4 linked regions of the Drosophila melanogaster genome follow. The protein of the gene in region 1 purifies or fractionates together with the protein of each later gene. This does not show direct contact. Each region holds a gene or a part of one and is shown in the gene's direction. Other genes may lie near its edges.

The links.
Region 2: the proteins of HIP-R (region 1) and GstE10 purify together in Drosophila melanogaster (affinity purification with mass spectrometry, with the first as the bait; one large-scale study listed by BioGRID). This does not show direct contact.
Region 3: the proteins of HIP-R (region 1) and CG14034 purify together in Drosophila melanogaster (affinity purification with mass spectrometry, with the first as the bait; one large-scale study listed by BioGRID). This does not show direct contact.
Region 4: the proteins of HIP-R (region 1) and CG1635 purify together in Drosophila melanogaster (affinity purification with mass spectrometry, with the first as the bait; one large-scale study listed by BioGRID). This does not show direct contact.

Annotation. Positions count from the first base shown.
Region 1 is NC_004354.4:3,786,391-3,794,860, forward strand, and holds HIP-R (Hsc/Hsp70-interacting protein related), read left to right. Parts: upstream 1-3,578; 5' UTR 3,579-3,686; exon of another isoform or gene 3,687-3,739; 5' UTR 3,740-3,773; coding exon 3,774-3,946; intron 3,947-4,026; coding exon 4,027-4,148; intron 4,149-4,365; coding exon 4,366-5,012; intron 5,013-5,086; coding exon 5,087-5,278; 3' UTR 5,279-6,087; downstream 6,088-8,470. Other genes in the region: Tlk (Tousled-like kinase), read left to right, coding at 1-14. UniProt on the Drosophila melanogaster protein: One HIP oligomer binds the ATPase domains of at least two Hsc70 molecules dependent on activation of the Hsc70 ATPase by Hsp40. Stabilizes the ADP state of Hsc70 that has a high affinity for substrate protein.
Region 2 is NT_033778.4:18,393,932-18,401,691, reverse strand, and holds GstE10 (glutathione S transferase E10), read left to right. Parts: upstream 1-3,299; intron 3,300-3,890; 5' UTR 3,891-4,073; intron 4,074-4,123; 5' UTR 4,124-4,226; coding exon 4,227-4,949; 3' UTR 4,950-5,054; downstream 5,055-7,760. Other genes in the region: GstE3 (glutathione S transferase E3), read right to left, coding at 273-935; GstE2 (glutathione S transferase E2), read right to left, coding at 1,503-2,168; GstE1 (glutathione S transferase E1), read right to left, coding at 2,586-3,260; Idgf5 (imaginal disc growth factor 5), read right to left, coding at 6,528-7,171, 7,238-7,760.
Region 3 is NT_033779.5:5,213,539-5,220,642, reverse strand, and holds CG14034 (uncharacterized protein), read left to right. Parts: upstream 1-4,100; 5' UTR 4,101-4,128; coding exon 4,129-4,156; intron 4,157-4,205; coding exon 4,206-4,308; intron 4,309-4,360; coding exon 4,361-4,938; intron 4,939-5,000; coding exon 5,001-5,169; intron 5,170-5,221; coding exon 5,222-5,360; 3' UTR 5,361-5,454; downstream 5,455-7,104. Other genes in the region: tkv (thickveins), read left to right, coding at 1-550; TpnC25D (troponin C at 25D), read right to left, coding at 1,688-1,716, 1,779-2,196, 2,290-2,292; CG7742 (uncharacterized protein), read left to right, coding at 6,057-6,326, 6,620-6,806, 6,860-6,953, 7,003-7,104.
Region 4 is NT_033777.3:31,585,850-31,593,098, forward strand, and holds CG1635 (uncharacterized protein), read left to right. Parts: upstream 1-2,823; 5' UTR 2,824-2,903; coding exon 2,904-3,010; intron 3,011-3,070; coding exon 3,071-3,141; exon of another isoform or gene 3,142-3,194; coding exon 3,195-3,437; exon of another isoform or gene 3,438-3,496; coding exon 3,497-4,422; 3' UTR 4,423-4,543; downstream 4,544-7,249. Other genes in the region: rod (rough deal), read left to right, coding at 1-176, 234-498, 569-1,394, 1,454-2,087, 2,148-2,258; CG1638 (uncharacterized protein), read left to right, coding at 4,769-4,887, 4,944-4,996, 5,050-5,292, 5,353-6,269.

The DNA of each region.
Region 1 (8,470 bases):
CGAGTTCGTCCTAGCTGCCAACCAAGCGCAATTCGAACTCATAATTCGCCGCCGCCGCAGTAGCAGCAGCTACATTAGCTGCCAGTAGTCAACAGCAACTTCAACACCAGCAACAGCAACTCCAAATCCAGCAATACCAGCAGAATCAGCAACTTCATTTGCAAAACAGCAGTAGCAATTATGCGGCCACGCTTCTAGATGCAGCGGCCTTTTGCTACGAAACCGTGATGGATGCAGCCCACTTCCAAAACAACAATAATAACAGCACCATCATCAAGAACAATATGCAGACAATGCCGGCAAACGCTGCCAATGCTGCTGCAGCTGCAGGGGGAGGGGGAACACCGACCTATCAGGGGAAATACAAGCGCTGGCAGCAGCAACAGTTACAACAGCAGGCGCAACTCCAACAGCAGCAGCACAAGCTGCTGTTGCAGCAAGAGCTGCTCTAAAATATGAAGGGAATGATGACAAGCGAGTTTAAGAGAACGAGGAGCTGCCTGCCACACTGCCGCCGTCAGCAATAACAACATCCCAAGAAAATTCACAGCGAGTCGCAAAAGCATCAACAAACAAAGCAAAAAACGCAAAAAAGGATTACAAAGACGCAGAGAATAGGGGACATTTGCAATGGGAAATAACAAATTATTGCATTATCTGCTGGATTGTGATTGTGGTTCAAACATTAAAAATACACTTACTCATACACACAAGGTAGACACTGCAGACTAATTTTGCCTTAAAAGAAACAAAACGAATAATGTTAACTGTAAATTTTCACTTTGTGTCCATGCATAGTTACTAGTAATGATGATATAAATATATAAATATATATAAAATATAAAAATTATATAAATGTATAAATTTATATTTATATATATATATATATATATATATATATATCTGCATAAACATTGAAGCATACTAGTAAATCTTTATAAATATATTTATATATATATTTATCTCTTCCTTTTAACGCTTTTAATCGGAAAAAACATCCCAATTATATTTTAATTCAATTTGAAATATAAAAGTCATTTTTGTTTGTTTTGTATCAAAATCCAAAAAAAATTGATTTAAATATAAAAATACCATAAACATTAACACCACACACACACACACACACACATATATATATATATATATATATATATATATATATACATATATATATACATTTGTATATAGTCGTATCTGAACCACAAACAAATCCACAGATAAAAAAAACTGAAAAATTCATAGAATCAAACCATTTTTTTATATGCCACAAAGAAAAGAAAATAAGTAGAAATGCAAGAAAAATCGAGAAAAAGCGTAATTCATGAGATCAGATCGGATCAGAAAAATCAACAGAAAATAAACCTATTTGAAGTAAAATACTTCTAAATACATAGTAAACTAATGTAATAGTTTTTATTAAAATTACACATATATGTATCGATATATATACATGTTTTTTTTTTTTTAATTTTAAAATTATAATTGTAATGCACTATGCGTAAATTGTATTAAATATTAATATCCAAGGCATATTAATAGAAATATATATACATATATAAAACCTGCAAAAAAAAAACATGAACTACCAAGCTAAATGTTTCAATAATATATAGATCTATATGTATGTAAAACCGATATGAAATCTGCCTACAGCCAGACAAAAAAAACCTTAAAGAGAAAGATCAGAAGAGGAACAGAAGAGTATGAGCGGGGAGTGAAAGATGCAAGATTCATCCAAAAGCGAAAAACATTTTTTTCTTAAGTCTACGCAAAACAAAATGAATGAAAAGTAACCCGAAATTAGTTTTTAGAGTATAAGTATAAAAAATGGAAAATATCGCGATAGAAAGAAACAAAAATGGACGCAGATAAGGACGGCAAGCAGAACAAGAGTAATAAAGCAGCGGCAAGAACTCCCTAAAAATAGCAAAGAGCATTGTAAATATTTATATAAATAATTTATGCCTAATTAAAGTTTAAATTAATGAAGAAAACCAGCAAAAAAACATAAAAAACCAGAAGAACCATTTCAGATTTGTATGCAAATTTGTATATGTACGTACTTTCCTTTAATTTTAGCCAATCAGTTTGTAAGATTAAATTTTTTTTTTGCATCTCTATAAAGAATAATGATATGAGGATAATGATTCCGATTTTTTTTTCCGTTTAATGTAACCGTTAGAATTAGCCCATAATGGTCGATATCTAAATGTGTGTGTATATCGATGTGATGTCATCGATTGTCGATAACGATTGGATGCGAGTGTGTGTTAATTTAATTTGATAAAAGATAAAGGAAAGCAAGGAATGTGAAGATAATGAAAGGAGATGCATAGAGAATGAGAGCGAATCTATCTATTATATAATTATGTAAAATGCACATCTTTAAATTATAAATTATACATATTTAAAAGGAAACTATTATTATTATTTTGATTACCATTATCATTATTTTTTATTATCACTTAACGGTTTCGGTTTGATCCACAGCGAAACCAACAACAACCAAGAAACAGAAACAACAAAAAGAGAAACAAAATAAACAAGCGAAATGTTTGATAAAAAAAACCACGAGATGTTTTAATTTATTTGTCTTTAATTCTTCGATTTTATTGAGTTTTTCATAGAGAAAGTTGTCACACTCAAGAACACACACGCAAGCGTATAAAGCTAAACAAATTAATACCTACTAAGTGTTTAAATAGTACTAAACGAATCAAAATATAAATACTTAAAAAGAAAAAAAAACGAAAATAAAAATAAAAACAGCAGCAGAAAAAAACGATGAGACAGTTGAGCAGACGAGAAAAACAAAGCCCATTAAATTATTTGTTGAGTATTTTATTAAAAAATAATTACGATAATAATTAAAAAGTTTAAATTGAACGAATTACGAAAAACAAACTGAATATACATATATGTGTGCATATATACATATATGTATGTATTATATATAAACAAATTATTTAATAGTTATGCTAAAAAATTATTTAAAGTGAACGGATATGAAAAATATTTGTATGCGTGCGAGCACGGAGAGAAGGGCACTCAGAATAGGCCATCGACACCACCCACTCCCTTCCGATACCCGAACATCACCACCAGTTTTCACCATTTTCTGACCCTTAACCCCTTCAACCAGACACACACCAAACACAAGAAAAGGCGAAGAAAGCCGAAAAAAAAACAATGCAAACACGAAATAGGCGGCGACGACAGAGATAAGCGCGAAGAAGATACTAAATCAATAAGTAAACATAAAAATTAATTAATAAATTAATTCCAAAACAAAATGAAAAAAGCTAAAAAAAAAACATCAAGAAAACAAAAGACAAAAGCAAACAAAAAACATGACGAAACATTGAAAATAAAAAAATACTAAAATGATTAACAGAAAACTGTTTTAATGTCAATGGGGGCAGACATAAACTTCTTCAGCAATAGTTATGGACTTAATTGTGGCTCATTACATTCTCGATCCTATGTGAATATATATGTATTTAGTTTTGGGGTATGTGGCGGAAAATGGCTGTTATCTTTTTAAAAGTTGTCACATTTTCCAGCACTATCGTACGCACAAAATACTGAAAAATACAAGAGCGAAGCGATAAATACCGTCGATTAATTCTCAGTACTTTTTCATGGTATTTATGCATACCAATCGATAGGGCAGAGCAAAAGTGGACGTAAAGCTAAGCAAATATTGCTTATTAATAATATTAATATATTAATATATCAGATCTGAAAACATCGAGACAAAACGGAATTCAGAAATGGCTTTCACAATGCAAACCGGGGATCTGAAGAAGCTGAAGTACTTCATCGACTTTGCGCTTGAGAATCCCACCTTCTTGAACATGCCGCAGCTGCAGTTCGTCAAAGATTTCGTGGAGAAGTTTGGTGGCACGGTGCCGCCTGGCCAATTCAACGGTGGCAGCGCCGGAGGGTAAGTTAACCGAACTATTTGACCAATTTTCAAAACAACACGATTGTATGATTTGCTCATCCCGCGGCTTGTTCTTCCAGCAAGTGCCCATTCGGCGGTGTTGCTGGTGCCAAGGCCAACGAGCCGGCCAATGCCCCCGAGGATAGCGAGGACGAAAAGTCCCTCTCCGATCCTGAGTCGGACGTGGAGCTGGACATGGAGGGTGAGTGTGCAAATTTTGCCGAGTCACGTGGTCATTGGGGGTCACAACCCTGGACTTTGATGCGTTGCTGTCGCAGTGCTGGCAGTTGCTTTATCTTATATCCTTTCGACACTGCAAACTTAGCGTTTACCCAAATTCGAATCCTGCAGTATTAATATATGTAATACGCCAATTAAAACTATGTATCTTCTATCCGTATTACTTCCGACGCCTTCAGGTGTGATCGAGGCGGACAGCGACCCCGCCCAACCCATGGGCAACTACAGCAAGAAGGCCACCGAAGAGGAGGTGGAGCAGGCGAGCGAGCTGCGCGCCCAGGCGGCCTCCGCTTACGGCCAGCAGAAGTTCGACGAGGCCATCGCCTTGTACACCAAGGCCATTGAACTGAGCCCGGGTAATGCCCTTTTCCACGCTAAGCGTGGTCAGGCCTTCCTCAAGCTGAAGAAGCCGAATGCCTGCATTCGGGACTGCGACGTGGCGCTGGAACTCAACTCGGATTTGGCGGCTGGCTACAAGTTCAGGGGACGCGCCCGTCGCCTCCTCGGAGATTTTGAGCTGGCTGCCCATGATTTGCGCCAAGCATGCAAGCTGGACTTTGACGAGGAGACAGACGAGTGGCTAAAGGAGGTCACTCCGAATGCCAAGAAAATCGAGCAGCATCGCTTGAAGCAGGAGCGTCGCCAGGCAGAGCGTAAGATCAAGGAACGCCAGCGGGATCAGAGGCGCGCACGTAAGGAGCAGGAAAAGCACAATGCCAGCTCTGGTGGATCATCTGGAGAATTTTCCGGTGGGAATCCTGGTAACGGAAATATGTCTGATATACTGGGCGCCATGTCAGATCCCGAGGTGTCAGCCGCCATTCAGGTTCGTGAATACTACTTTTCTATTTCTAATACAAATGCAGTAATCATATCGTTGTTATTTATTAACTTTCGTAGGACATTTTGTCAAATCCGGGTAACATCACAAAGTACGCGTCGAACCCGAAGATATACAACCTTATCAAGAAGATTGTGCCCGGTGGAGATGTGGGTGCTGCCTTTGGCCAAGCGGGTGAAAAGGCTGGAAAGCCGAGCGAGCCTAAGCCTAAAAAGGACTCCGCCGACTTCGTCGATGACGGTTTGGACTAAGGTTTAGAAATGGGGCAGTAGTAAGACTGAAACATGCGTCGATAAAAAGAAGTTAACAACCAATTACACGAAATCGAGCGAGATTACAAAACAACAAAGAAAGAGAAAGCAACAGAGTGCGGTGAAGAAGATGGACTACACGAAAAACAAAAGGGAAAGCGGCTGCCTTACACATTTTTGCAGCTGAGAAAAAACAAACATTTCCTAAGCTTTAACTTAACCAACACGTAAAAGAACGGGCGACAATGGAGAAAATTCAAATATTCAAAATACTACAAGCAGTCAGAAGAATAAGCAACATTTATTTAAATCGAGAAGAAAGAGATGTTGGAGATGCTGGAGACGCTTCTTCACATATTATTGAAAAGCATACTTGCGGCCATTAAAGTGGCAAATGAAACTATACAAAGGAGCTAGAATATGCTTAAAAACTTATCACATTTGCAGTTCACAGGTAAATCAAAAGATTGTCCTGTGACGAACAAAACATAAATGTTTAGACGTCAAGTCAGATTCAAGGGTGCCGATCGATCTAGTTGAACTAAAGCTCGAGAAACAACCAAAAGAAAATAAAAAATATATATATGTTCAATAATATTAGCCTAAATTACCGAGAACGAAGAAACGGATAAAACTAATCGCATCATTTGGTCAAACAAAATTGTACTGAGTAGGATTTAAATCATATTGTAAGCAAATGCATTTAGCCCCCCAACATGAAAGCAATCGCCCATTCATTCACACACTCATTCACACACTCATTCAACCAGTGATCAATGGAAATAAATAAACGAATCAACAAGAACCCGAATTGCTAATGTCCATATTTTTTGGTAAACGGGTAAAAGGGGAGATACTTTTGCTTTTTTTTCGAGCGGGTTGGACAGATGGAGCCGTAGTCCCTTAAACTATCCGGCGCATCACCTGTGTGGGTTGCTCACTTTGTATGAAGGACATTGGGTACGCATGGTGTATGAAAGCGTCGATTAGACGCTTCAATGGCTGCACCCTGCACCCTGGATCCAGAACCTATCTACCGCACCCCGCCCCATGTCAGCGCGAAATTGGCTAACGGACAGCTTGGCGCACATGTTCGATTATGGCCAAATCGAGCGACCAAGCAGAACCAGCGGCACATGACCTGGGCTCAGCGATGCCAAGACCTGGGTGGTTGTACCTAGAGGTACTTGATTGCTTTTTAAACTCAGCTTGGTACAGCGTACACGACTGATTATTTAGAAGCTATGACAGCTTTCTTTGCTTTGATATTTTTCATATTTATATATAAATTATAAATATATATTTATAAGCAGGTGATATGGTTGAAACATATATCAACGAATATGTCAAATATAATACAGTGAAGTGTCTGCATTATTTTATTGTACCTGCGCCATCACAGGTACGGCTCCTCTTTCCATCGACTGCAGACGTACCGCTTATGTGCATGACTGGGTGTCCGGGGTGGTGGATGTGAATGTGGATGAGTGGCAGGAGGGCGCAGGCGCAGCTCAGCCCAACAGCCAAGTTGGTCTGGACTCCTGGCGGCCCATCGCATTCCGTGGCCAGTCGCAGCGCGAGACGGTTAGCCAGTTAGCCAGTGCGGACCGACTAATTCCCAATTTCCGCTCTTGACTAAACTAAAGATTGAGAAATAAAGAAAGAAATATCCTTCGTCCGTCCCCCAGACGAAGCAGGTCAATTTTTTTTTCGTGTTACTTGCTCTTTTTCGCCAAGTGTGAGTTGTGTGTTTTGGCTTGGCTAACGTGATTGAAATCGAGACAGCCGGGACATCATGATTGTCAACATGCCCGTCAATGGAACGGGCAGTGCATCCAGCCCAACATCGAATCCCAGCAGCAACAACAACAACAATAGCAGTACCACCAATCAAAATGATACGAACACTAATCTTCCCGGTGATTACAACTTTCTTAAGCGCAAGTTCGACGATCAGGAGGATTTGGCTTTGGGCCACGACTACGAGCCCATCGGGGCAAATCCCTGGAAGAAGCGACACTTGGACTACGATGCCGGGGACCTGCACTTCCACCTGCAGCTGGAACAGCCACCTAGTAATCCGCCAACCAACGCTGCACCCGCCCAATCCTCGACGTCCTTCATCAACGATCTCTTTTCCTATGAGAGCAGTCTTCTGGTGCCCGCCGTCGCCTATTCGCACTGTCCACCATCGAGTGCTCCATTGGATGACAATGGTGGTTGGACCGGTGGCGAGCTGCTGGAGCTGGATCATCGTTATAACTCCGGCCTGCAGGCGGAACTGGGGCAATTGAATGCCACTTTGCCGCCGCCACCACCAACATCATCATCAGCTCAAAATGCATCCAATCATACGCAGCAGTCAACACAACAGAATGTCATTCCTGGTCAGAACCCACATCAGAATCAACATTTTCTGGTGCCGCAGAAGCAGCGGATACAGTCGGCGGGCCGACGCACCTCATCCGGTTCGGTTAGTGGGGCCAATGAAGCCACCGAGGCGGACTTCGAGGATAAGAACCTCTCGTGGCTGCTCAACTTTAAGTTCGACGAGTTCCCGCACCTATCGCCGCACAATCAGATTCACGGACAGGCGGTCAATCTGCCGGAGGGCAGTGCTCCACCTCATCCACCATCGACGGCAGTGCCGATCGCCACGTCGCCCTGCAGTTCCTCCTCGCCATCATCCGCCTCCGCCGCATCGGCATCCGCATCCGCCATAAGCACAAATCAATCTCTCGGATCGGGTTTGGTGGATCAACGGGCCAGATCGCCCAAGAGTTGCTCCAGTGCAGCGATGCCAGCGGCATTAGGAGGAGGAGGCAACGGCTCCGCTGGCGCTTCAGCAGCGGGGGGCGTGGCCGGCGTGGGCTCCACCAAGACTGGGCGCAAGTTCGAGGAGCTGGTGATGGAGGTCACCTCGGAGTTGGACGGTAACGACATGATAGTTGCCGAGCACGTTGTCGTCGAGGATACTTCGTCCAAGGCGTAAGTGTTGCAGAAATAAAACAATATGACAGTGTCAACGGTTAAATTCTATATTTCCTAATTTATTTGAAACATCTATTTATTCCCGTTACTCATAGAGGAAAAGGGTATACTAGATTCGTTGAAGTATATATAAAATTTGTTGATCAGGATCAATTTTTAAATTTTTTTCTCATTTTATTCCCCAATATCTATCGACATCCC
Region 2 (7,760 bases), on another chromosome or scaffold:
TAGTTTTACATATTTCTCTAAATATATAAGCGCCAAACATTTTTCATAAAAATTTCATTTAAAATCCATCAATCGTGTGCAAACTACATATGGTGATCCATATATCATATCTGCCTTCACATCTTATGCAGCAAACACAAAATAAACCAGTAGTTTCTCTTATCGATTCACTCAAAACAAGTTTGGACTGATATTAAGCAAAATTGTCGTACAAAAGTCAAGTCGTTATGATAATTGTTGTTCTTATTTATTTTTGTCTATACTAAAATGCCTTAAACAATAGTGAACTTTTTGCTCTTGATGAACTCGATGATTTGGGCAGCACGAGAGCCATTCGCTTCCTCGTAGTATGGCAGCTCCTTGATGCGCTTGATCCAGGCAGCCAGCTCGGGATACTTAGTGGCATCTACAGGCAGGAACACGAAAAATCCTGTCAAGCCGGCGATGACGTGGAAATCGGCAATGGTCAGGTTGTCGCCGGCCAGATAATTGCCATTCTCCAGAAACAGATTGAGGGACTTGTAGACACCCTCCAGGGCATCGATCCTCGCCTGTGGAATCTCCGTCTTGTTCTCCCAGAAGAGCGGAAAGGTGATAGCCCTTCCTGTCGAGGTCACCACGCTGGAGTCGTAGTGCAGACGCTGATCGACAATGGCTCGCTTCTTCAGATCCTTGGGGTATAGAGAATCATTCCGGCCGTACTTGCTCACCAGGTAGGAGTTAATAGCATGGCTGTCGGCCAAATAGAAACCATTATCATCCAGAGCGGGCACGGTGTGCAGGGGATTGATCTTGAGGAACTCTGGCTTCAGGTGCTCCTTCTCCATCAGATTGACGATCTTGTAGTCGAAGTCCAAATTCAAGGCTCTCAGCGTGAGCAGCACCGAACGGACCGGAGGACTACCGTCGATTCCGTAAAGCGTAAGTTTTCCCATGTCTGTAGTGTGCTGTAAGGCGATTGACTAGTAACTGCTTACTAAACGTCGAAACTTGGGGCTTTATATAGCCACCAGGTGGTGCTCTTCACTTAAGAGAGCTTTGCACATCTGTGATGACTCTGCAGTATGTCATACTCAATGCTTGGAACCCACATATCTCTTAGCTGTCGTATACGTAATATATATACACTTCACGTTTTAAAGCTTTACAATACAGAGCGCTTTTGGTCACATATTAAACATTTCTATTTGTTTACTCATCGTTTTGGGATTTAAAGACCATTGTCATAATTTAACCGATAAGCCAGTTGATTATATTAAACAGTGAAACAGCAATTTTTGGAAATTAACTATCTATAAGCAAAAAACTGATCATTTAAGTTTTTCCATCTATATATTTCTCTTTTATTATTTCTCTCTTTAGGATTCAGTACGTAATGATAGTTTTATTATGATTCTAAAAATGATAGGTTTTTGTTACAAATCAGTTGTAGTACTATTCGATTTGATTTGTTTTTATGGTATTTATGGCATTTGATGGTATTTTTTTTTTAATACAAATTACTATTGCTCCAGATTTAATACGGGTTTCAATAAATTGATATACTTCTTCAAGCCCCGCAGATTGTCTTCCTCATAGTGGGGCAACTTAGAGAGTCGTTCGAACCAAGCAGCCACCTTTGGATACTTTAACTCATCCAGATCAAGAACAGCGGCCAGCGAGGATGCAGTAGCTCCGCAGCATAAATCAGCTATGGTCAGTTGCGACCCGGTCAAATAGGGATTATCCCCTAGAAAGTTCTCCAAATGGCCATATGCATCTTTAATGTTGTCCACCTTCTCCTTGGGTACCAGGCTTACTTGGCGAAGAAAATAGGGTATACTGACATTTCGCAGCGACATAAACAGAATGCTGGCATCAAAGAACAAACGCTGATCCACCTGGGCGCGCAACACCAGATCCCTGGGATATAGCTCATCCGAATTGGCATACTTGTCCACCAGGTAGCAGACAATAGCATGTGAATCCCAGATAAGGGCACCATTATCTTCGAGGAGTGGTACGGTGTGCTGCGGGTTCTTTTTGAGGAACGCATCCTTAAAGTGATCTCCTGCCAGTAGATCCATTTCCTTGTATTCGTAGTCCAAGTTTAAGGCCCGCAAGGTCAGCTTGCAAGCGCGAACAGGAGGACTAATATCCATGCCATACAAAACCAATTTATCCGACATGATGCGATCACCAGAGAGACCCAAGTTCCACTAAATTTGCCACACACAGAAATCTAAACGAGCTTAACTAAACAACCCAATTGGGTGCGCTGAGCTTGCCCCATTTGTATCTTAAATAAACTTTTGTAATTGTACACTGACGATATCATAAATGAGCGATAAAAATATTACGGTCGGGTTCCCCAACTGTGAGATAATAATTACTGACTCAAGTCCCATATTAAAGTTTATAAATTTCAGTATTTATTATAAATTCAAATATTTAAATAAATATAAATTAAATAAAAAAATAAATTAAATATTTTATATATATGTTATATTTTATTGAAGAAGTTTACGTTTTAGAAATGGATGTGTATGTTGTTAATTGATGGAATTCAAACTTGTGAAATGTCATATTTAAATATAAGTTTAGTTTCACTTGTCGCCCAGCTTGGTCCACTTGCTGCGCAGGAAGGCGACGTAGCTCTGGGCCGGAGCTTCGTTGATCTCCTTGTAGTAGGGCAGCTTATTGAGGCGATCCAACCAGGCGGTGACCTTGGGATATGTAGCAGGATCTATGTCCACGGCAGCGGGCACGGCGCTTACAGTGGGTCCGGTGGACAGATCGGCTAGGGTTAGCGAATCGCCGGCCAGGTAGGGGCTGTTGCCCAGGAACGTCTCCAGCAGCTTCAGACCCTGGTGTACGGCGTCCAGTTTTTCCTGGGGCACTTCGGTAACACCGTTTATCCAAAACGGGCGGCTGACATTGGCTATACTGGCATAGATTACACTGGCATCGAAGAAGAGACGCTGATTGACGATCGCACGCTTGGCCAGATCCTTGGGATACAGCTCATCCGACTTGGCATACTTGTCCACCAAGTAGGCGGCAATGGCATGGGAGTCCCAGATGAAAGTGCCATTATCATCGAGCATCGGTACCGTGTGTTGGGGATTCTTCTTCACATATTCCTCGCTCAGGTGCTCGCCCGCCTGAAGATTCACCTCCTTGTACTCGTAGTCCAGATTCAGGACCTTTAGGGTAAGTTTGACGGTCCTCACACAGGGACTGAGATCTGTCCCATAGAGTACAATTCCAGAGCTCGACATGATACGTGTTGTTTACCCGTCAGTGTTTTTCTTTCGACTGATCTCTCTATTTACTGTACATATATACACACCTTATTGCCTCAAGCTTTTTGCTAAATGAGAGAGCATTTCGTAAATCTAAGATAAAAGCTCGAAACCATGTGTTAAACAGTTAAAAAAAAACCATATATATAATATGTATGCCTATTTCATCATAACAAACATTAATTACCCCCAACTGATAGTTCTGGAATCATCTATATGATACTAATTTTAAAACACCATATGCAGTGGTGAACTACAAAAAACATATACTCATCAAAAACAAAGTAGGTCTCTGTGAACTCAGGAACATTGGTTGTCAGAAGAAATTAATTTAATACAGTTACTTGTTTTATGATTTATTGTAATATACATCTATTTGAATCATGTAGAACCCATGTAAATTTACAATTCAAGTCTTCCTAACGAAGCTTGAAAGTTTCTAAAAGCTTAAAGCTTAAGTTAAGCTGGCATAAAGCTTATCGTTATTTTGGATAAAATTGTATGATCTGATACACAGAAGTAATAATATTAAACTCATAATTTTATAATTATATTTATATGAAAATGTTTGCATAGAAACACTGCTAATGAGTCTGGTTACTTTAGGTTTCGTTTGGACGTTTCTAGCAGTGTATATAAGTAGCCCCTTTGGTGCTCCAACTATGATCAAATAAATCACGGGGACATTGATCAAATATTGACACAGCTAATAGATAGCAGACCGACTTATCCCGGACATTAATAAACAATCAGGCAAACTTAAACTTGCAGCATTATGACGTCTTTGTGGTAATTATCAAGAAACTAAGTTTAATATCTAATCTTATCGCGTTTGAAAGAAATTTAAATTATTTAGACTGCCTTGAGTCAGTTGTGGATGGCACACTGTCTGCTACGAATCTCAATTCAACCAGCTAGAAGGCAATTAGTTAAGCAACCACAATGGCTAACCTGATTCTATATGGCACTGAGTCCAGTCCGCCGGTCCGTGCCGTTTTGTTGACCCTTCGTGCCCTCCAGCTGGACCATGAATTCCATACGCTGGACATGCAGGCCGGCGATCATCTGAAGCCGGATATGTTACGCAAGAATCCCCAGCACACGGTACCCATGCTGGAGGATGGTGAGTCATGCATTTGGGACTCACACGCCATCATCGGCTATCTGGTGAACAAGTACGCCCAGTCGGATGAGCTCTATCCAAAGGATCCGCTGAAGCGAGCTGTGGTGGATCAGCGGCTGCATTTCGAGACCGGTGTCCTTTTTCACGGCATCTTCAAGCAATTGCAGAGAGCTCTGTTCAAAGAGAATGCCACTGAGGTGCCCAAGGATCGTTTGGCTGAGTTGAAGGATGCCTACGCCTTGCTGGAGCAATTTCTGGCGGAGAATCCCTATGTGGCCGGTCCTCAGCTGACCATCGCCGATTTTAGCATTGTGGCCACCGTGAGCACTCTGCACCTGAGCTACTGTCCCGTGGATGCGACCAAATACCCCAAATTATCCGCCTGGTTGGCACGTATCTCCGCATTGCCCTTCTATGAGGAGGACAACTTGAGAGGAGCCCGCTTGTTGGCCGATAAGATTCGCTCCAAGCTGCCCAAGCAGTTTGACAAGCTGTGGCAAAAGGCCTTTGAGGACATCAAGAGCGGAGCTGGAAAACAGTGATGCGGAAGCCATTGTCGCATCGAAAAGAGAGCATTGCCCAAAGTAAAATTGTATGTTAAATGGTATTTAATATGATGTATTAAAACTTACGCTGCTGGCAAAATGATTTAAAATGTATATTATGTTTGAATAATCTTCTTTTTTTCCCAGTGTATAGGCTCACTATATACTGTTCTGAGTTAACTGAAGACTTTGTAGCCATCTAAGTGCTCTTGGCCGGTAAATGTCCTTGATGGCGAACATTTTTTTTATGTTGTATATAAATTACTATCTAGCGTGGAGTGCATTTCCAATGGCAACGCAGCCAAAAGTTTACAACTTTTTTGCGCTCATTAAAATTATAAAATTTTACCCTCCACAAAAGCGACACAAAATAGAAGAGGGCGGGGTAAATGAAAAGCGCAAAGTTTTCCTGCCGTGTCGTGCATGCTAAAGTTGTTAAATCATAATTAATTTATGACGGCGCCATCCGCCCAAGCAGCTAGCCAGCCCAGCTCCGCAGCAAACCCAACTCGCCCCCGTTTTATGCCACTTCCAAATTTGCCTCTTATCTGCGCTCGGGTCTCGAACTCCCCGCCCTTCGCTTGCTCCAAGTCCACAAAAAGGACGCGCCGTCGTTTAAAATACTCTTAAAAAAGGAGCCAAGTCTAAATACCTGCTGGGTGAAGTCCGTTTCCAAGCCCCACGGAAGTCCTGCAGGAGATGCTAACGTGAGCGGAAATTGGAGTCACGCAATCCGAAGATATTTCTTATGAAGCAAAAATTCCAAAACTTTTTGTTTTTATTTTGCAGATGTATGGAAATCTATAAAAAGTACATGAATTTTCCATTTGTTTCTTACTTATTTTCAATTTCTTCCCTACTTATAAACCTTTGTTGGCCTTAAAACACAAATTTTTTTAAAGCATTCCCTTCCTATTTAAGCCCCAAAGAAAAGAAAAAAAATCATAAGCTTTAACGTTTTTAGAAACTCGTGACTACTTTGTGGGCATCTCAGGAACTTACCTTGTGTCGCCGCGTTTTATGCGCCTCATTGCAACGGCGACGAGAAAGTGGTGGCAGGCAAACTAATTGGTTTAATTTCAACTTTTACTTTGGCCCAACCAGTCAGCATGCCACCCCTACTTACCCCAAACTCACCCCATCTCGCCCCGTCCACCAACCAACCCCCACATCCTTGCCAGCATGGCTCCCCGAAAATTCCACCCATCGTGTCAGTGGCATTTGAGAAGTTTGCTTTGCTTTACGCTCCGCCTGCCACTTCAGGACGCTTTTACTTTTTCTTTTTCGCTTCTACAGGATTCCACTTGGCCGGTTTATTTCCTGCTTTTTATTTTTTTTTTTTTATTTTGCTCACCGTTCTCGCATCTCAATTTATCCTAGTTTTCATTAAATGAACAAGCTGATTCTTATATTTCTAAAGAAAATATAATACTCGGAAGCCATTTGAAAGCTCGTTTACTATTTTAAATGAAATTTATTGCAATCCATGCATATTTCACAAAAATACACTAAAAAAGTAGAAGGATAATTGTGAAAGCTAGTAAATTTTAAATTCAAAGCAAATAGCTATTCTTTTTATAGCTTAAACTTGATGCTTCGCAGAATGGGAAATTTTTCGCCAGCACACTGACCACGAAAATCATCCATGGACAGGTCGTGGAAGGCCACTCCGCCCAATCCTTGGGCATGCACAAATCCGGCCTTAATGGCCGCCGTCAAGGGATCCTCGTAGCCCACCCATAGGCCATTCTCCCCTTGATCATCCGCTGCCCGGTACGCATAGATGCCAAAACGCTTGGTGGGATCGCCCACTTTGCGCAGATGGGGAACCTCGCGATCCTGTGGTTGCTGCTGCAGCAAATCACAAATCTCCGGCCAGCTAAGCAATCCTGGCGTAACAGTTTGCCTTCCCGGCGGTGCAGCTCCATTTGCCGCCGGAATTGGTGGATAGCCGGTGATGCCGGAGTTTCGGGTCATATTCCAAGCTCGACCATAACTGGTCACTCCCACGTGCAGTTTGTGGACACTGATTTCGGATGTCTGGTTCATCCAATACTGCACCTGGTACTGCACATTGTGACTGGGATCCCGATCGTACATGGCATACAATGGCGTGGGCAGATCTGCAACTTTGGGATCGCGTTCCGGCGTTTGGAAGTCATAGGTGCCCAGGTTGACGAAGTCCACGTTACTTAGAACCTTTGGAACATCAATAAAGACTAGGGATAGTAAAAGTAATGGTTAATATTGGCGAGATTCTCAATGGTTTCAATGATTATACTCACGTTCCGCTGAAACATGTGGCAACATACTGACGGTTAGCAGTTGGCCACCGCGTCGCAAATCGGATTGCAGCTCTTCGAGAAGTGTGGCAAACTGCTCACGATGCTCCTCGGACTTCTCGTCCACCGATGAGGAACTAAACCAGCCACGTAACGATCCCCATACCCTCTTAAACACGCCCTGCTGCAGTTTGGGCCTATTTTTGGGAAACTGCCAGGCGAGATCGATGCCATCGAAGCCGTTGTTGTTCAGTTCCGCCAAAACGCTTGCCTGAAAGCTTTTCCGATGCTCCGACTGTTCCAGTAATCTTAGATACTTGTCACTATCTGCCACGCCCTCGCTGTTCACATCCCGATCGCCGCCCACCGAAAGCAGGAAGCGAACATGCGGATATTTTTTGCGCAGAGCGGTAATGTGTCGATAATGCTGACGATCATTGGTCAACGAAGGATCCAAACTCTTGATCTTATAGGTTACGGCATCAATGCCCGCATAGCCGTAGACCAGAAAGTTGCAAAACTGTAG
Region 3 (7,104 bases), on another chromosome or scaffold:
CGATATCAAGAGCAAGAACATTTTGGTCAAGCGGAATGGGCAGTGCGCTATTGCTGACTTCGGGCTGGCAGTGAAGTACAACTCGGAACTGGATGTCATTCACATTGCACAGAATCCACGTGTCGGCACTCGACGCTACATGGCTCCAGAAGTATTGAGTCAGCAGCTGGATCCCAAGCAGTTTGAAGAGTTCAAACGGGCTGATATGTATTCAGTGGGTCTCGTTCTGTGGGAGATGACCCGTCGCTGCTACACACCCGTATCGGGCACCAAGACGACCACCTGCGAGGACTACGCCCTGCCCTATCACGATGTGGTGCCCTCGGATCCCACGTTCGAGGACATGCACGCTGTTGTGTGCGTAAAGGGTTTCCGGCCGCCGATACCATCACGCTGGCAGGAGGATGATGTACTCGCCACCGTATCCAAGATCATGCAGGAGTGCTGGCACCCGAATCCCACCGTTCGGCTGACTGCCCTGCGCGTAAAGAAGACGCTGGGGCGACTGGAAACAGACTGTCTAATCGATGTGCCCATTAAGATTGTCTAAGCAGCTGTTTGTAGTCTCGTTTTAGGTTTAACCTAAGTTGCATTTAGTTTTCTGTTTTTGTTCAACTTCTGTTGAATACGCAGTTCCGACCTTTTGTCCGGAAATTCATAGTTAGGTTCTAATCGTAAGTTGCTTGTACGTGAGCGGAGTAAAGCAGAGGATCCTTCAGAGGTGCCTATACTACGGTTACTTAAACCGTCGCACTGATTGTAAGCTAGAGTTTAGATATAAGTTGGCAGGAGCTAGTTACTAAGGCCCCTTGCAAAATCTTTGGTTAGAAAAATGCTTTAACTATTTGAGAAATATAGGGAGTATTTTGGATGACACCTATTCATGTCGATGTACATAAATATGAGATCAAAACAAAAAATCAATCGAAAGAATCGAAATTTATATGTAACATACATTAATTTTTGTGCCAGCTTTTGTACGCTTTAACTAAACGAGTTAAGTCGCCCATTCTTTGACCCCCGAGGCTTTAGCCTCAACATAGAACATGTCCTTATATGTTTTGTTTGTATCTAGTGTTTAAGTGTAAACTTTGCAGACTTTGTGCAAGTAAATGCTGCCTTTTGTAAAATCCACGGAATTAGTTGCCTTAAGACAAAGTGTAAAGACAGGAGCCAACAGACAGGAGCCCGACTCCCTTCCTCCCCTTTTAGTAGCACATATTTTTGTATTTATAACCAGAGATATATAGAACTGGCAGTTGCGTATCTCGAGAAGTGCACTTGTGTCGGCTCTTTTGTTTTGTGTAAATAGCAAAGATGTTTATAGGCCGCTAACCATACATATATATAGTATATATATTATATATTATCGTTATAAGCGATTCTGTAAATACTATATATGTATCTTTATCTGTAACCGTTTAACTTATATCTTATCGTTCTTATCATGTAACCTTGTTTAAGCTAGAGTTAGATGACTAGCCTGTAAGAGCAACAAGTAAACTATATGAACTAGATGGATATGTATCTTTCAGTTTTTTTTCTGTTTCATTATTACTGCTCGCAGACCACAAGAACTAAAGTTTTGTATTAAAGCGGTTAGTTAATTTATTTAAAAATAATAAAAAATTATAATTAAACCCAAAAGCTCGATTTTCTGTTGGTTTTATCAGCGTTCGTGGTTTTTCTACTCGCCCGCCATCATCTCCATGAATTCTGTGATCGAAAATGGCAATTAGTCAGCATCACATATTTGTTAATTACAAGGGAATACTTACCATCAAAGTCCACGGTACCGGATCCATCAGTGTCAATCTCAGCGATGATGCCGTCCAGATCGCTGGAGGAGAGCTTGTCGTCGAGGGCGGCGAGAATTTCCTTCAGCGTTGAGGTGGTGATGTAACCATTTCCCTCGCGATCGTACAGACGAAAGGCCTCTTTCAGCTCCTTCTGGATGGCCTCGGCATCCTCCTCTTCCAGGAAATGGGCAGCGATGCTGCAGAAGCCGTCGAAGTTAACCTTGCCGGTGTCCTCCGGATCGTTGTCGTCGATCAGAGCCTGCAGTTCGCTATCGTCGAACATCTGACCCATGCTGTTGAGGATCGTCTTCAGACGCAGCGTCTCAATGAAGCCCGTCTTTTGTGTGTCGAACATTTGGAATGCCTTGCGCATGATGTCCATTTTCTCGTCGTCCTCCTGCGGTTACCAAAAATTAGCCCGATCACATCATAATCGATTGCACAATATCCACCCGCCCAGAGAAATGCAAAAACAACACCCGATAGATACCATTTTGTATCTGTTGGCCAAACGACAATTTGCGAGCGAGCGAGTATTCCAATCTCCAATGCGTTCCAACTGCGTTGGCCTGCGGGCGCGCACTAAACCGATCGCCTGGCCAAGATCATTATTTATAAACAACAAATTTCGCTTAGTGGAAGCGTCACTCATACGCAGCGTTGTACACCTCGTCGGCAGAGGAGCAGCGGAGCAGAGCATCCCATCCATGGGTTATTGTTGGTTTGGCTTTTCGGCAAAACACTTTATTAACCAAGCCATTGGAATGTGAACTAGTGGAGGTGGCGGTGGGTACAGAGGTGTAGGTGAAGGTGGAGGCGGATGCGCAGACTGATTCTGGCCAGACGCTGATCTAAATCAGATCAAAGTGTTACAGGTGCACTGCCTGCCTCCTGTTGGTTGGGTTATTGGTTGGGTATTGGCTGGGGTTGGGTAAGGTGGGAGGGTACTGATGCCTTAAGGTCGGCGGCAGAACGGCGACGTCATCTCCATCATCTTTGGCGCTGGCAGCCGGAAAAACGAGCGCACAGCGCACGCCACAATTATGCAAAAGAGCAGCAGATACAACGGATACACCAGATACAGCACATACAGATACAGATACAGATACAGATACAGATATAGGTACACCCTCGCATCCATATTTCGGCGAGTTGAGATGTGTGCATGGCCTGGTCCGTCGGTCACTCAGTCAGTCACTAAAAATCGACTATAAACGTCTTCACAATCAGTCACAAAATCAGTGCGATTTTCTCACGGTAATTGTATTTTTAGTACTTTATAGCAATTTTTGTCCATATGATCATGAGTGTGGGCCAGATGCCGATGGCTGGTCCACAGCCAATTCCACAGGCTCTTTGCCGTTTGCTGACTACTTGCTGGCTACCCACTCTACCCATAGCCACTAGTGCTGCGGTTAACCACACACCCATCCGATCCTCAACCTCCATCCTCTCCACTTTGGTCTCGAAAAATGTTGATTTGGTTTTAGATTTTTGCTTTAAAACAAACAAACAGGCATTCAGGCTGGCAAATGGACATCACGCTAGATGGACAGGCCAATTGTGGGGGATGCTATGGTTCTTTGGGCATGGGTTCGGATTTGGATGCGAATTCGAATTTGGATAGTTCTGTATGAGTGGGTAACCTTCCGGCAGCGGCATTTTTTTTTTTGGCAAAGGCGCACAGTAGTGGCTTTGATGGTCATTTGAGTTTTATTATTTATGACAAAACGTGAAACACATTTGGAATGTCCCAGTGAGGTGACGGAATGGCACAATGGGAAGAGGGGTTGGGTTGGGTTGGGTTGGGTTGCTCTGGCGACCACAGTGCACTCACACAGTGGCACTTCGATTGTTTTTGCATAATTTTCAATGCCCAAAATGTGTATCTGTATAAATAGCTTGAGTTGAGTGTTGGCCACACTTGTGGCATAAGTTCTAATTCGAACGCTGACATTTTGGTGGCATGAAATTTAAGGCTAGATTTACGATGTAATTACCACTGCAAATTGTTCTGCCCAGGAGCGAAGTCAACCGCGAATTAATTAATTACTGACTTCCTATTTATTTTTAAATTGATTTTTAAAATTCTATTTCTGTTCTTTTTATAATTTAATCATATTTAACTTTTATGCAGAATTCCACTGCTATAATATTTTACTGCTCCTCCCTGGGCGCTACAGATGCACATATTTTGCAATTAGAAAAGCTTTCCGGTTACTTATTCGGTTGAACGAGACAAACTTAATTAAAAAGATTTTATGGAACCTAGAGCATATAAAGTCGGAAAATAAAAAAATCAGTAAAGGCCTCAACGGAATCGAAGAGAATGATGAATAACATCTTGGTCTTAATAGGTAATTCAGGCTGAGTTAATAATAAAGTCATAAAGTAATCGTGTTTTAGGCTTCTCGAGTGTTATGCTCGTTGCTGGCTTAGATGATATGAACTGTTTTTCCCTGCAAAACGAAATTTGTCCCAATGCCAACATTTCCTTTTGGCTATACACGTAAGATTAATGGTTTTATACTATGATTTTCATTATCTATCCGTATCTGCAGAAAAGAAAATCAGGAGGGAACTAAGCTTTCAGTTTTTGAACTTAATCGTTTTGAATTTTATCACCACAAACCGCTCAAGGTTCTGATCCATGGATTCAACGGGCACCGCGATTTCAGTCCCAATACCCAGCTACGTCCGCTGTTCCTGACACAGGATTACAATTTGATATCCTTGGATTATCCAAAACTAGCCTATGAACCCTGCTATACGGAAGCGGTGCACAATGCCAAATACGTAGCTCGCTGTACTGCTCAGTTGCTACGAGTACTCCTCGAGAGCGGATTGGTCAAAATTGAGGATCTGCACCTAATTGGCTTGGGCTTAGGTGCCCATGTCGCAGGCTTCATTGGGCAGTTTCTTCCGGAACACAAGCTGGAGCATATTACAGCCCTCGATCCGGCAAAACCATTTTACATGGTCAAGGATCCGGCTCTAAAGCTCGATCCCACTGATGCCAAGTTCGTGGACGTCGTGCACACGGATGTCACGATGCTTGGCTTACTGGATGCAGTGGGTCACGTGGACTTCTACTTGAACATGGGTGTATCACAGCCCAACTGCGGACCCATTAATAAGAGTTAGTAATATTAAGGCCATCTGCTTTACCTATATTTTTCATTTTCGTTGTTCTGACTTTAGTGGAGACTCATTTCTGCTACCATAACCGAGCAGCAGACTATTATGCCGAGTCTATTTCGTCACCTTCTGGATTCTATGGCTTCTACTGTCCCAATTTTAAAAGCTTCGCAAAGGGAATTTGCATTCCTGATAAAAATATAGAGCTGATGGGTTTTCACGTGGATCCGAAGTAAGTGCCAGCACCTATTTTTCCAGATCTCTTTTTATCTATTTAATTGCAGAGCCAGAGGCAGGTATTTTCTGGATACCAATAATGGTCCTCCTTATGCCAAGGGAGAGAACTTTACCTCAATAAGCCGCCAACTAAAAGGTCGAACTTTCGTGAACGATGATATTATAGATAAATTGATTGGAACGTAGTAAGGGATGCTATCCAAATCTTAAAACGAATATTTTTAATTCATAAATAAACATTGAATAATGTACCACATAGAGGATTATATATCTCTATTTTCGTGTAAAAATTTTTGCCATTTCAAAATCATATTTCGGCCTGGTCTAAATATTCAGGTGAAATACTTTCGACACTCTGACATGTTCAGGTGAGTTTGGCCCACCTTCGCAATCAACAGGAGGAGCCAACCCGACGACCACGTCAACAACTCGTTGGGCCAGGTGACAGATGCCAAGAAAAAGGAAAAGTTGCCGCCACTCAGTTTCAGTTTCAGCGTGTTTCGGTGTGCGTGAAAATAAATGTATATGGAAAGCAATTTCACGCGCCTCTGGCTTTTCATTCGAAACGAAACATAATGGAATTTCTTGGTTGCGAGGGGCGGCAAAACGAACGAATCAAATCACAACTAACGCGAAACTAGCAGCCAAACAAGTGTTTGCATTCCGTCGCCAAGAAGCGACGACAACCGAGGATGTGACTCGGAATCGAATCGACTCCAAATCAAAGCAGGCGACGGAGTTTGATCGATAAAAGTCAAACGACGGAGTTAGGAGCGCCCAAAGTTTTGGGGCTAATCGGTATCAAAACGGTGTAAATAGTTAGTTGGTAGTCAGTGGCAGAGTAATACGTAGAAAGAACGGTCGGGTCAAGGAGCTATCGGCATGGAGGAGCTGCAGGATGCCAGCATCCACCATATGACCGCAAAGGTAATCGCGGCCATCAAGAACACTAAGAGCTACGAGCCCATCTACAAGGAGCTGCAGAAGCTGGTCTGCAATCCCAGCGTAGATACTCACGATATGCGCAACACCCTCGAGGATGCCATCAAGAGCGCCGGACTGGAGACGGAGATCCGGAATATTGTCTACAACCTGGTCCGCACGCGGCTGTCGAAAACAGATGACAAAAACCTGGCCAACAAACAGGGAGCGGTGGGTACAACTTTTAAGATACAATTTATCAAATTTCTTGTAATTGAATTTAGAATAATTGGAGTGGTATTTAAAAGTATTCCATGCTGCTCCTATCATTTTCTACTTTTTGACTTTATTGGCAAAATTTTATTTTATACCTTAACGTTTATAAAACAAATTATAATGATACATAATACCGGAAGATCTCGAAGTGCCACAACTATAGAGTTAGCCTTAGGGGTATTAGTAGTATGTAGTGCTAGGGAAAATGAATTAAATAGTTCTTTACTTATGTCTATATTTTCCAATAGAAACCCACCGTTAGTGATCCACTTGGATATTTAAAAAGAGCTGGTGTGCTTTGGGATCGAAGGGTTAGGAAGAGTTTGAATGCCATGTGTACAGAGCTGAAGGTTCCATTGCATGGACAACCAAGGATCAGTGCTGATCGCGAGGACTTTATGGCCAAGTGGAACGAACTGAGCAACTACAATATGGGTAGGCATTTCGTAAATATTGAAGCTAACAATTAACCATGGTTAAACTTCTAGATCTGGCCAACTATAGGCCTGTTTACGCTCCAAAGGATTTACTGGAGGTGCTACTCTCGCTAAAAGGACCCGCCAAAACCACTGAAAATACAGAGTAAGTTTTGGTTTAAATCAGTCAGGTAAATAATCATTTTGCTCATTAGTCAAATCCCCCAATGGGAGTTCTCCCACATTGCACTACCTGTGAAAAATCTTTTCGAGCTGCGTGCCCACTACGCGGATCTGCTGCGAAGTGATAGCTATTT
Region 4 (7,249 bases), on another chromosome or scaffold:
TAAGCATATTGAGCGCCCAGGAGTTGCGCTTCGAGGTGAAGAGGGATACCTTCGGCGACGAGGAACTGGTTATGCTAAGCAGCGCCCAGGAAATGCGCGATATGTGCCAACCGTACATTAATGAAATCAATAATGTCGAGCTCTTTACTTCCAAGTTAAAACACTTTATTGAAGACGTAAGCTCACTGATGCCACAAATAATCTTTTTTTTAATATCTTTGCAAATCGTTTAGATCAACATTTACTTCTACGAGTTGTACATGTGTGTGATCAACATCCTAATGTACTTCGATTCGGCTCCGAAGGAAATGGAAATCTGGATGAACATTTTGCACTTCCTGAGACACAAGATGATCACCAGAAGACGCAATCGGCCAGGTCAGGTGGAAACCGACACGTGGCTGAAATCACAAAGGGAAAATGGCGTTATGCCGAAGATATCTCGATATCGTCTGCCTTTTAAGCCCATCGTAGAGCAACCTCTTAAGGATATTCTTGGTATATTCAACTGAAATAGTTTAATGCTTAATGCTTCTGTTTAATTATAGTTTCCGCTTCTTCTATTCAGACAGCGAACTAAACGTGGACAACTGCCAAAGCTGGTTTCCACTGATTCAGATGTACACGGCTTTGAAGGGATCCAAGGATAGTTCCCAGAACTGTGACTACTTCTGCATGTCAGCAGTAAAGAATTCGATATCGGAGTACAAGTCGAAAAATGATTCGGAATCATGGAGTCTTCATCCCACGAATAATGCCTTCCTGCAGTCAATACTACGACTGGTCGAGAAGGTGAACAACCCAAACAAGGCATTTCTAATACTGTACTTCGTGTCCAACTATGCTCGTGATGGAGCCGATCAGGTGGAGGCCTCCTACGAGTGCTGGAAGTTTGTCAAGGAGAAGGGCCACCTGATTACAGATCCAAAGAGTCGCGAGCAGGTTGCCAAGGTGAAGCGACGGTATCCTATTCAGAAGACCCAGCACCTGCTGTATGTCTATGGCCTGACCGATGAGAAGCTACTGCGCCAAGTTGAGAACCCCACCGAGCTTATTCAGGCGCTCTACCACCATGAGCTGATCCTCAAGTCCAGCAAAGTGGATATTAACGCTCTGGTCGCAGAGATAGCCAAGCTGCACGACCTCTGCTTAGCCACCATCCAGTACCGCCTGCTACAGAAGTGGCTCGCTCTGACTATGGAGTCTGCGGGTGATGGTACCATTTTGGAGGAGACCTTCATGGAGGAGCAGAACTGGCCGGAGCAGGCCAACGGCGCAGAGTCCTCCAACAGCCAGGACGCCAGCGAGAACGTAAATAGAGCGTTTTACATACTTTCCAGTTGGCCAAAGGCGGAGGCAGTCAAGTTCCTTGTGGGTCTGATCTTCAAGGGCGGGTAAGGATTGGTACTTAAAAGTTAGCGAAAATAATTCATTGAATAAACCCTTCCACCAGTTCGGTAAACACCTCCACACAGCTGCAAATGTACGAGTGCTATTCCAAGCTAAACGATGGCAGCAACTCCTTTACCAACACGATTAGCCAACGCCAGTTCATCAGCATCAAGTGTGTGCACGAGCTCAAGGCTCTGGGCTACAAGTCGAACCTGGAGAAGTTCTCCGACGACCATTGCAACAAGATTGACATTCTGAAGATGATCTGGCAGCGTAATGCGCAGAATCCCCTTTCGCTGGAAGTCATGGCCAACATTTGCCTGGGCTTTGATATACACTTGCCGCAGATCTGGAACGGCATTCTGAAGCGCATGGTCATGTTCCATATGGTGCGCGAGCTGAACGCCTTGTTGGATGTACTCAGCTGCCGGCCGCATCTACTTCACCTGGATGGACTGGCCCAGGCCTGGGACTATGTGCTCTGCCATCCTCTGCAGAACGCAGTCGAGCTACGATCCTTTAAGCAGGAAGAGGTGCTCCACAAGACGCTGCTGCGCCTGCAGGGCTGTCCGGTGGTGCACGCCCTCAACCTGCTACAGTTCGCCCAGCTCTGCATCGTCGTCCATCGACCGCACATGGCCGCCTCTCTACTCAGCTTCTGCCAGAGCAGCGAGCAACGCCAAAAGATCAAAAAGGTATGCTCGAACCGCGCACTTTAACGAAATGCTCTATTGTCACTCTAACTCTTCTTGCAGATGATACATTCCCATCCGGTGGAGAACCTTCGGCAACAGATCTTGGATCTGGAAGATGCTGGTATTTTGCCGGTGGTGCTGAACTTTGCGCTCAAGGAACTAAATCTGTAAGCGTAGAGATTTGGATTTTACTATTCCCATAATTTTTTGTTTTATTGGTCGAATATCTGCGTTAAGTGCGTTCGGGTCAAGATACTTTTGTAAATATCAAGGTTTTATACCTGCAAATATAGTTTATACAAACGATGACTATTTTCTATTTTAATTTTAATATGTTATTTTATATACAGTAGCAATTAGTCAATATTCAAACAGTACAATCTCTTAATTTCATAATTTATGCATCACAAAACAATGTGTTAATTTGAGAAATTGTCTAGGGAACTTCGCTTCCCAGTTTAAAATTAACAACAATCGGGATGACGTCATACGTATGTATCACTTCTGTAAACAGTGGGCTCAAGTTGATGGAATACTGAAAATAATGAGATATATTAGGATTTTTTTTAAATGAAGACTTTGTTGTGTAAAGAACAGTCAGTCTCAAATCAATTTAATTAAAGTAAATGGGAAAAAATTAATATACTAAAGAATCGAACTTTTCGAAATTAGTTGGAGACGAATTTTCTCGAGCCCACTGTACCAGTCAGCTGTGGCCGCCAGCTGTTTTCTATTTGGGGTTAGATCAAAGACAGGTTACACTTTGTATGTAACTTGAAAAGCAAGGAGAAAGCTGCGAAACTAAGTTAAACCGAGATGATGCGTTCTTTGATAGGAGCACAAAAGTGCTGGGGCCTGATCCGCACCAGGAACTTTATGGAATTACCCACCAAACAGGTGCCAGCATCCTTCGCATTGTTCAAGTAAGAGCAAAAAATAAATGATGAGCTTACATGGTAAATGAGTACTTTCATCTCTAACAGGCGTCACTACTCACCGCCCACGCATATCAAGCAATCAGCGGTCGCCAATGAATCCGGAACCATGGCGGAGGGTAAGTGTTGTCTTGCCAGAGTCAAACCCATCGTAATCCCCGAACGTCTGCAGTCAAGCAGGGGATGATGAAGCGATTGGGGCTGGAGCCCGGTTACAACCCGCTGCCCAAATCCAGGGAGCAGCTGCTCAAGTACCAGCCGAAGCTGGAGGATCTGCCTCCAAGAGCTATGCAGGATTCCTTCACCTCGGCCATCATTCCTCTGAGCACGGACCGCAGTTTGCAGGACAAATATGTGACCTATCTGGGCAATGTGCGATTCGGGCGACTTCTGGAGGACATGGACTTGTTTGCTGGTATGAGGAACACATTTGCTGGAATCTTGGCGCACTTTCTCACTATCCGCTATTTCCAGCTTGGTGCTGTCATAAACACCTGGTTCTGCCCAATCTGCCGGAGGGAGTTCATCTGCCGTACACCTTTGTGACCATTCTGGTGGACCGCATCGATTTCACCAATGTCTTGGCTTCAGGCACCCAAGATATCCGTTTGTCTGGGCACGTTTCCTGGGTGGGAACCAGTTCAATTGAGGTGGTAGTGTGGCTGGAACAGATGGTTGGCGGGAGGTACCAAAAGTTAACCCGTGCCTTGTTCCTGATGGCAGCAAGAAACGCTAACAATACCGGAGCGGCTCCTGTGAACCCCTTACAGCCGGCCAACGAGGAAGAGAAAGTGATTCTGGCTGGCGGCGCAGATAGAAAGAAGAAACGTCAGATTCTCTGTGCTCAGTCCATCTTTAAGGTGGAACCCAATGACCCGGAGCAGACAATTATGTACGAGCTGTACAAAAGGACAACTCCCACCAACACTTTGGAACTCAACAAGCGCATCCTGCCACCAAACTGTCGCTGGATGGAGGACTCTTTCCAGATGAGCACTATTCCCTCATTTCCGGAGCACAGGAACCACCACAACCGGGTCTTCGGAGGCTTCCTCATGCGAAGTGCCCTGGAGATAAGCTGGGCAGCAGCCTACCTCTACTGCAAAACGCGACCCAAGCTGGAGCACATATCCGACATCAGCTTCGAGAAGCCCGTCAGCGTGAACAGCTTCATCAAGATGACCGCCTATGTGGTGTACACCAAGGAGAACTACGTGCAGATCATGACCGTTGCAGATGTGATGGACCCACAAACGGGCAGCCAGGTGACCACCAACACGTTCTACTACACCTTCTCGTCTCCGGACACGGTTACCGAGGTGCTGCCCCGCTCCTACCACGAAACCATGTGGTACATCCAAGGTCGTCGAAAGTTCGAGGCCAGCATGGGCCCAGTGTAGACATGGTTCAGCCTGTGATTGTTACTCAAGATATTATGCAAGGCTATCCTACCAGATAAATGCAATTACCAGTTCAGTGTTTACAAAAAGCAATAAATGTCTGTTGTTTAATGATGTGCTTAACCAACCAGCTTAAAACTTTTAAAATCTTCTATTAAACCCTATCGAAGAGTACTAGATTAAATGTTTATTAATATAATAACTGTCAAAATAATCCCTAATTTTTGCCGACTTTACATTTTTTGGATACCCATTACCTGTAATCAAAAAAGCAGAGCTGAAGCAAAATTTATAGTTTTAATTTCGTGTCGGATCTGAGTTCAGATCTCGATCCCGATCCGTTTCCATGGGGCCTGGTCTTAGAAATGTTAAATTATGTGTTGTACCTTTTTTGCTCGGAGCCCGCAGCTGCCGGAGCTTGTTAAAGGCCAGGACCCTCAGGAAGATGACACATAAAAATTCCAGGTGAAGCACCAACACAACTAGCAGAAATCAGATTTTATAGGCCACATTTCTTCTAGCTCTAATGGGCGTAACTCCTCTGCGGACGGTCAATACGCCACTATGACGGAGAGTAAGTACTTCCATTCCAGAAATAGGTGCTACTTGTCCAGATATCCCTTTTAGTCAAGAAGAAGATGCTGAAAAGCTTCGGCCTGGAGCCTGGGTTCACCACGGAGCCGAAGTCCAGGGAGGATCTACTCAAGTACCAACCCAAGTTTGAGGACTTACCTGCGCGATCTATGCAGGACTCGTTTTGTTCGGCCATCATTCCTCTGAGCACGAATGCAGTTCTGCAGGACAAGTATATCAACTTTAGAGGCTTCGCGCGCCTTGGCAGGCTTCTGGAGGACATGGACATCTTCGCCGGTACCATCTAGTTTGGCCAAAGCCATGTTGTTGAATAATTGTCTGCTTAATTCTTCGTAGCTTGGTGCTGTAATAGGCACCTGAAAGTGCCCAATCTGCCAGAGGGAGTACCCTTGCCGTACTCCCTCGTGACGGTCCTGGTGGACCGGATCGACTTCACCAGTGTCTCACCCCAGGGCACCCAAGACATCCGTCTGTCTGGCCACGTGTCCTGGGTGGGAACCAGTTCCATGGAGGTGGTGGTATGGCTGGAGCAGATTGTCAATGAGGAGTATCAGAAAATCACGCGAGCTCTGTTTCTGATGGCGGCGAGAAATGCCACCAACACAGCTGCGGCTCCAGTGAATCCCATTCAGCCTGCCAACGAGGAGGAGAAGCGCATCCTAGCTGGCGGGACCGACAGGAAGAAGCAACGACAGCTACTCATCGCTCAGTCCGTCTTCAAGGTGGAACCCAACGCCGAGGAACAATCTCTCATCTACAAACTCTACAAAAGGACTACTCCCAACGAGCAAACCGGTCCGCGCCGCCTCCTGCCTCCCAACTGCATTTGGATGCACGACTCCTTCCAGATGAGCACTATTCCCTCATTCCCGGAGCACAGGAACCAAAACAACACTGTCTTCGGGGGATTCCTCATGCGCAGTGCCCTGGAAATTAGCTGGGCAACAGCGTTCCTCTACTGCAAGGCCAGACCCACGCTGGAGCACATATCGGACATTAGCTTCCAGAAGCCGGTCAGCGTGAACAGCTTTATCAAGATGACCGCGTATGTGGTGTACACCCAGGAGAACTACCTGCAGATCATGACTGTTGCCGAAGTCCTGGACGCGTACACGGGGAACCACGTGACCACTAACACGTTTCACTATACCTTCTCCGCTCCAGACGCGGTTACTGAGGTGCTGCCTCGCTCCTACCACGAAACCATGTGGTACATCCATGGTCGCCGCAAGTTCATTGCCAGCAGAAGCTAAGCCTCAAAAAAAATTCCCGCTCAGTTTAAATTCACGTAGTCAGTATTTCTTATAGCTAATGTACACAAAGACTGGATTAGTTTGAGCAAATCTTGTAAAATATGTTAACCAAACTGTGCCAGGTGATATTTCCTGATCCAAAAATCTATATGATGCCTATTAAATCGAGTAACTATTCAAATTCCTTATCGAAAGCAGAAAGCGTATAGTTGGCCGTTGGCCCTGGCTTTTATTTCGAATACCCAGTTGCGTGAAGATCATGACCACTGCCAATGTTCTGGGCACGCACGTGATTGGTGGTGAGCCCTACTCCCACTCCGCAGATTAGATTGGGTCCACAATTGATTCATAGAAAACATTATATTTTCGGTAATGTTTTGCTGTCTAATCAGACCGAAAATTGAATGTAAAACTTTCCATCTTCTTCGCTAGTCTGGCACTTTTCGAAAACATCATCTTTACACCTCATTTCAGATTAGATTGCAAGCTTGAGTAGATGCACTGAAAAATAAGATGTTTCTGTGCTAGAGACGGAATATATTCAAACACATAGTCAGTACAATATTATGGGATCACATCATTCTAGCATCAAATAATCTAACATATTTTCAAAAGATTTAATTCCCAAAAGATCAAAATATACAAATCCGCTCGAGAACCTACGCTATTTCTTGCAGTGCAGGCAGAAGATCTCTCACCAAGCGGACAGGTGATCGTCATGCGCGGGTTCTCAGTCGCCGGAGAGCCATGTAATCGCACAACGCGGAACATTTGCCAACGCTCCACTCGGTTCTAGAATCACTCTCTATTTTGCAGCCCAAGTGAAAGCACTTCATGTAAATCCGAACGAGCTGAGGCGTATTACGTATTAGGAGCTGGGAACTACACCCAAGTGCCCTGCAAGTGATTTCCCCAAAAAATCCATGCCATTGGATCCCCCCAGTAGGCGGTTCAACTAGTTGCAATTTCCAAGGCCCCGT